2 linked regions of the Arabidopsis thaliana genome follow. The protein of the gene in region 2 interacts with the protein of the main gene of each other region in a biochemical or structural test. Each region holds a gene or a part of one and is shown on either strand. Other genes may lie near its edges.

Region 1 (3,928 bases), on a different chromosome or scaffold from region 2:
GTTGTTCAGATAAGTTATTTGTAGCATGTCCAGATTTGATTCCTCAACCCAATTTGTATAACTCAGAATGTGGTCTTTGATAAGATACGTTTAAAAGGCAAGATCAAGCTGTCACAAGGTCATGATCAAGCTGCAGAACACAATACAAATGGAAATTGAATTGCTTACACCTAAGCATCACAGAGAGTGTTATCAATTCTTCCAACTATATATAACCTAGAGTTCAGCTTCTTTGTTCCCGGAAACACCAAGAAGCTTGGCGAGTTCACCGCTCTCATACGCATCTACGGTATCTATAACCAGAAACAAAGATAAATCTATCGATCAGCAAATGTTGGCATAAGCAAAGACGTTTTGTTGAAGGAAAAGGAGTGTTAAGTATACCATCTGATCCTCCGAGATGTTTTCCGTTAATGAAGACTTGCGGTACTGTTCGCCTTCCAACAATCTCTCCAAGTGCAGTCTGGATGCTCCAACCATCTTCTGCAAGACCAAATTTTTACCAACCATTAGTCACAAATGAATCTTCTACATAGTGATCGGACAAAGTTTCAAATGACAGAAATGTCTGAGAGCTAAGAAACATTGTTGGATGATGAAGACATGATTCCCTTTAACCTTAAAACACACCTCTTTCATCAAGCTCGACAACATAAGGAACTTGATCCAGCTCTCTGAACACTGATTTAGCTTTCTTGCAGTAGCTGTTGACCAAACCACAAGGAAGCAAAGGAAAAGTAGAGATGAGTCATATACATAGGTACATGATCTCTCTACACAACTCAATTAAGGCCAAAGGAAAAGCAAAGAGAACAAATACTGAGAACTGAACCTGAATATATCTTAAACGAAAATCCATATTGATTTCAACCACCATTTGTAAACAGAGATAACAAAGTTGTCTCATAAAAATCCAAATCTAACGAATACAAGTTCATTGGGTTCAAGTTTTCACTCATATTTCAGATATTAAGATCTAAAAAACAAAATCGCAAATTGAAGTCACCCAAGATCCAATTTTTCTGCGAATCGGATAAAAAGTGATTAAACATGAGCAGAGAAAGAGACATACGGGCAGTAGGATTTGGAGAAAATGACGATCTTATGGGAAGAGATAGTCTTCTTAACAAAGTCGGCTTCTGGGGACGAAGCAGCAGAAGAAACCATAGAAATGAATGTAACTAGTGCGACGAGCAGCATTACCATGGAGATAGATCTAAACATTGTCATGGCTCCTTTCTTCTTCTTCTTCTTCTTCAGATGCCAATTGAAGACGATGACTTGCAGGATCGATACTGTGGAAAGTAGGTGTAGGTGTGTTGTGGCGGGTACGGTTTAACCCGGCCCATCTAAATAAGGGTCGTATTAAAGCCCAAAATCAAGGTTATTGTTTCAGCCCAACCACTATTACATAAATTGGGTGAACTTAACAAAAACAATTATTTTTTACTGGGCTTCAAAAACATAGAACATTTTTGGAGTATAAAGGATGATAATGATAATGACATGACCAAAGCTGGTATTAGACGTCTTAACACTATCTTGCGGGTTCAATTTGATTTCCGCTAAACTAAGAAAATCATACATCATCCCAAAACCTAAAATTAATATTTGTGTCACATCAATTTTGAATATATGAGTCAAATCATTTGTAAACATTCTTCACAAGTTATATCCTATATTTTTTATAAAAGAGAATTTCAAAAACAGAAACGCTCGTAAGAATTTTAAAATATTTCCACATCTAACCAATCCACTAACGAAGACAAATTAGCCATAATTTACTAGTCTTAATTAAAACAAAAAAGGGGATAAAAGTGTAAAAATGAGCAATTCAAAGGGCAGAGACAAAAACAAAAGATGTAGTAATGTTTTTTTTATTTACGAAACAATCTTTGTTGTTGTCTGTGTGTAGACTCAAAGAGTGTTGTGGGTGGCTGACCACGAATGTGAATGTCCAACTCGATCCACCTCCCTTCTCCTCATTGGACCCCACTTGACCAATCTCAATTCTCAAGCACCAACATTTTTTTTGTTTGAAAACAATACACAAATAATAATTAAGAAAAAAAAGTGTTAGAGAGAGAAAGACACACAGCTCAAAAGAGAACATTGTTGTTGCTCGAGGAGAGAGAAAAACAAAAAAAAAAGCCATTAGAGAACGTCGTCTGCAAAGAAAGAAGAAGGCCAAGTCTAGCTTTCTTTCATTCTGCTTCTTCAACAATCAATCAGCTTTCTTGAGAGAGATTAAAAAATTCATTCAGATTCAGCTTTTTGAAAAGAATTTTGGCTCCGTTAATTCCGATCTCCCGATTTCTCCGTGTCTGCTTTGAGCTGACTTCAAGGAGAATTTTTCTCAGACACACCAACTCGAGAGAATCTGCCCGATCTGACTCGTCTTGTTGCCTGACTCGCTGAGTCAGCTTTCTGCAAAATCGGTCTCTCTTGGATGAGTTAACTGGGAAAAAGAGAGAGGATCTATTGGAAAAAAAGGAGTAGCCATGGTAAAATCATAGATATCATCATCCTCGTCGTTTTATTCAATTGCTTATTGTATTTTCTCAAATGGGTTTATGTTGGATTTAAATCAATTAAACGGATTCATTTTTAACACTTGTCCGATTTGGTGTTCGTTAGTAGAGATATCTTTGTATGAGGTTTGCGTTTTGTTTTCGATCCCTAGTTCGTCTTCCCATTAACACGAGAGATTCTCAATCCAACTATAGTAGAAAAGTTGAATTTTGTTATTTTGGGGAACATTATACAGTGTTATTGAAAGGTAAGGGTCAAGAGTTCTATAACAAGTTGAAGTTGGACCATTTCAGTTATCTTAAATTTCATTTCGTGGACTTATCATTTCCTATTAACATTTCACTTAGCGGCTCTCACCATTTTGGATTACTTCTATTATTAGTAACGAGGTTATGTAAGCTTCTATGTTAGATTACTGTCCCTTTATATATATGTTTCATCAGGAAACTTCTTCAGGTGAGACCATTTTTTTTTTATATACCTAAGTTTTATTTGATATAAAGGCTGAAGATTTAGTTTCCAGAATGAAGGAAACTGAGGGAAATGCGCAGTGTTATGCTATCTTTGTTGTGTTTCTAAGTGAGTGTTGTCTCTAGATTATAGGCAGTGTTATTGTCCTGGTTTTGCGGGAAATTTTAATCTATAACATTAGTTACTTTCGGTTTAGGTTCGTATGTCTGGTGCCATCTATTTCAACTGCTTGAACTGATGATATTTGGTATTTGAAAGAGGAACTTATGTAACAGCTTGTGTGAGGTTATTAAAATCTTTGTACCTCACGTCTTCAATATTTGTATCTTTTGTAGGTTGGCCCAGTCAATATAATAGTTGGTTCTCATGTTTGGATTGAAGATCCTGGAGCGGCATGGATTGATGGTGAAGTTGTCAAAATTAATGGCGAAGAAGTTCATGCACATACCACAAATGGGAAGACCGTAAGTTGTCTATCCTCCTCCCATGCTTTTGCATGTAAATTTCCTTTTGAGAAATAATGTCACTGGAATGAATAGGGTGTTTCTGCTTAGGGTGTCTGTTTAACTTTGAACAAAATGTCACTAGTCCTCTAACCCCTTTCCCTGTGGATACCGTGTTACTCCTCTAACATATGAGTTTTGCATGACATTGACATCCCTATTTCATAATTATATTATACAATCATTGAAACCAGATTATGTATCAATCAATCAATCAAATTTAATTTCAGGTTGTGGCCAATATCGCAAACGTATTTCCAAAGGATACAGAGGCTCCCCCTGGGGGTGTTGATGACATGACAAAGCTCTCATATTTACATGAACCAGGTGTTTTGAATAACTTGGCCATGAGATATGAGTTGAACGAAATTTATGTAAGTTGTTATTCATTTTCTGCACTGATTACTTATGAAATCACTTAC
Region 2 (3,928 bases):
AAACACTCATCAAGACGAAGTACAACATCCACCGGCGTATTCTCCATCTCATTCTCTCTATATTTCCAATCCGTAACCCCTTCAACGTTCTTAAACTGTAACTCTCCATTGCTATTCTCATCAGAATCGCCATTATTTCTATACGAATCAACAGAGGAATCTCTCAATCTCCTCCTCAACATCCCCATTTTCTCTTTAGCTTCATACTCCTCCATTCTCTTTCTATACACCTCTAGCTCCTTCTCAAGCTCAGCATTCTCCTTCTCTCTATTCACCATAAGCTCATTCAACAACTGCAAAGCTTCTTGATCAAACTCAGCTTGCTCCTCCATCATTCTCTGATACTGCAACGCTTCCATCTGCATCGCAGCTTTCTCCTCATGCAACCTATTGATCATCGCCATTGTTTCACTGGCAGCAACAGCAGACGCATTCCTCTCTACCTCCAGCTCCTCGTATAACGCGTGAAGTGCTTTTCTCTCTTCTTGTAACTCAAACTTCAACTTATCAACAGTGAGTACTCCTTCAGGACATTCAATACCATCAACAGATACTCTTTGCTCTAAGTGAAACATAGCGTTATGTAGACTACTATGCGAGCTTTCCATCGAGCCTTGAGCTTCTAAAATCCGCTCTTCGTTGATGTTTAAGACTGGCATCTTGGTTTCAATCGTTACTGTTTTGAACTCCAACGTTTCCTCCTCTGTTTGGAAGAAGTAACGCATTCGTTGAAAATGTTAACTAGAGAATCAAGAACAGAGAAGGACTAACGCATACTTATGTTATAAGAAAATTACCATGATCATCGTCATCGTGGTGAGGAATGAGCTGGTGAGAAGGAATATCTCCGATTTGCTCATGATCAGGAATCTCTGTACCTATAGAAACCTCTGCGTCTGTTTCTTCGTCGTCGTTTTCCATTTCCGAAGCAACTATAAACAACTCACCAAACTTAGATACAAGGCAAAAAAAAAAAAAAGCACAAGTAAAAGCTACACGAAGATGTACCTAGATTCGTCTCTGCATCCTCCGGTTTCGATTCACCCGGCGAAGCAAAGTCGGAGATTTCCTCCGTCTCCGCCGCCGCCGTGAAATCATGCTCAACGCCGAAATCGAGGATAAAATCTCCGTTAATGTCGGAAATCTCTCGAACTTCTTCACTCGGTTTATAGAATTCAACTGGAATCAAATGACAGTCTTCTTCATCAATATAGAACTCGAGGTTTTTCGGAGCTGATTCTGCAGTTTCCACCTCTATAGGTAGATCCACTCTGTTTTCTTCTTCCTTCTCTGTTGCAATTTCTTTGTTCTTACAATCGAAGCTTGATACATAGCATGAAAACTCCTCATCAACATCATCATCTTCAAGTTTCTCATGAGATTGGGGAACTTTCTTCTCCTCTGTTTCTTCCTGAGAATCATTCAAATTTACAGATCCTACTTTCTCTTCTTCAAAGACGAAGATCGATCGAGGAAACTTAAGACCATTGTAAATCTGACCTTCATCTCCAATTGGATAATCTAAATTCCCAAAGTCAGACTCAATCGGAGCACATAGTGACGAACTTATCTTCTCTACGCAACAACCACGATGAACCAAATCATTGTGAAATTCTCCGAAACCACAATTAGATTCTTCAACAGGTTTTGAATGTAATTGGAGAGCATGATCATCGCAGAGAAGATCTCGATGAGAAGGAGATTTACCAGAAGCATCGAAGAAACGATCGAGTCTAGAGCAGAAGAGACAAGGACGTTTAAGACCGAAATAATCAGCGAATCTGAGTATGAAATAAGAAAAGAGAGAGTTGAGCAAAATGAAGAAAATGAGTGACCATTCGAGAAAAGCGTATACGAGGATTAAAGTGATTCGGTTTGTTTTCCGATGAATCAGAGTCGCGAATTTGTTAGCCGCCATAGACGACGATAAAGAAAGCTTGAGAGAGATAGAGAGATTTGTGTGGGGGACGAAGTTAGGAAGGAGGAGAAAGACTTGTCAGCTTAAGTAAGTTAGCCGGAGAAATCGGACCGACCATTAGTGACACTTTTTTATTTTATTTTAATTTGAATTTGACAACATTATATATATGAAAATGGAAATGAAGCTAAGAGTCAGAGAAAAAAAAAGGTTAGGATAATAACACATTTATGTATGTACTAAATTATTTAAAGGTTACGGGTAGGTATATATAATGGAAACAATAGTTGTTTGATATTAAGTTTTAGTTTATATAAAATAAGAAATTAAGTACTAGTAAAAAGATTATTGTTTATACTGGTTGACCGAGTTATTAATATTTTTATTCAATGTTTTGGATTCGATTTTATCTGATTACAGTTTTTTTTTTTTGAGATTTTAACCTTCCATTTAGGTTTTTTGCCAACACACCTTCCTATTTTAGGTTATAGTCTATATAGATTATTATTTATGTCTGTATTTTCATAAATAGTAAGTAATAACATATTTTATCAAATTATATTTAACAGAGTTATATATTTTTTATGTATTAGTTTTAACATATTAAAAAATAAAAAATTATCAATACTTAACATAAAAACTATGAATCCTTTGAAATTTATAAGAGGAGAGTGGATTAGTGTAGCGGAAAGCTACTGATTAATGATTTTATTTTTTGTCGTCAAGCGAGTGATTTATGATTAAGCATTGCTCGTGACGCAATCATACTGTTGAATTTTATTTATGTTGTTTAGCTTTTTCAGCAAAAGAAACAGTAGTTGATAAAAAAAAAAAACTTGCCACGTGGTTTAAATGACCCCGCCACTCTGCCTTTAACTTTGGAGGAAAAAAATAGAATGGGCCCATACATCTGACCCACATGCGCGTAAAAGGGCCCACACATTTTGAACCGGAAACCATAGTATTTTTCAGCGGAAAGAAACTTAAAACGGTGTAAAATAACGGTTTAAATCAATGTTAGTGAGGTTTAAAAACAAAATATATTTAAATGAAGTTATATGAAAGAGTTTTTTCACTAGAATTTTGTATTCGAGAGTTTCTCATTAGTAATTTAGTTAGGAGTTTTTAAATAGATGGACTAATATCTAACTTTTTTTATAATTAAAACTTTTATATTTAAAAGGTTTTTCTATTAATAATTTAACTAAGGGTTTTTAAAGTAAATTGGCCAATTCGTGAAGGATATTTCATTTAAATCCCCAAAAATTCATATTCATTATGCTGTCGTACAATGAATTGAAAATCGATTAATAAGAAGGTGGGTAACAAAATTTCCTTTAGTTTCCTTTTATTTAAGAACACCACTTTACTTCTTTCATTATTTTGACCAAGTTTAACTAGGCCCGTAAGGAGAACCATAAAGAGAGGACAAGACCTTGTTACAGCTTACAACCAAAATAAAGGAGACCACAGTTAAAAATAAAAGAGGTTTAAAAACACTTCTACTAAAAAACATGGTTGATAAAAAAGTTGGCGGTATCCAATTTTGAAAGTATGCAACTAACTATGCATCATTCATAAACAATTACATATGTAACGTGTGTAGTGTAGACAAGGTAATCGATATTCGAAATGAGCAAATAAATAAAGAAATTGTGATTAAAAAATTTTTAAGAGTTAATGGACCAGTCTAACATTATGTGCCACTTCATTTTTATATTTCACATCAAAACCGAATTCATTTTAATTAATTAGACCGTGTCCATTTTTATAAAATATTGACGGGACATTTCAACATTGTGTATGAATGTTATAATATTATTATTCTCTTCGTTAGCCGAATGGTTCACATTGACATCATAGGGACATACAAATATTGACTTTTTCGAAGACACATTACAATATATGTCGTTTTTTGAACCTCGTGGCCTTGTCAACTTATAATTTGCGTGTTTGCGAAGAGATAATCATCACCAAATGTATGTTAAACATGTAAGTAATTAATATTCA

What was found.
Region 1: the proteins of AT1G70750 (region 2) and XIK form a complex in vitro, tested with the Arabidopsis thaliana proteins (one study listed by BioGRID).

The regions. Positions count from the first base shown.
Region 1 is NC_003076.8:6,935,954-6,939,881, reverse strand, and holds the start of XIK (myosin family protein with Dil), read left to right. Parts: upstream 1-2,051; 5' UTR 2,052-2,501; coding exon 2,502-2,504; intron 2,505-3,317; exon of another isoform or gene 3,318-3,338; coding exon 3,339-3,467; intron 3,468-3,736; coding exon 3,737-3,880; intron 3,881-3,928. Other genes in the region: AT5G20500 (Glutaredoxin family protein), read right to left, coding at 217-293, 385-483, 631-704, 1,073-1,230. UniProt on the Arabidopsis thaliana protein: Myosin heavy chain that is required for the cell cycle-regulated transport of various organelles and proteins for their segregation.
Region 2 is NC_003070.9:26,681,230-26,685,157, forward strand, and holds the start of AT1G70750 (myosin-binding protein (Protein of unknown function, DUF593)), read right to left. Parts: upstream 2,127-3,928; 5' UTR 1,919-2,126; coding exon 1,009-1,918; intron 933-1,008; coding exon 798-932; intron 704-797; coding exon 1-703. UniProt on the Arabidopsis thaliana protein: Membrane-anchored myosin receptors that define a distinct, plant-specific transport vesicle compartment.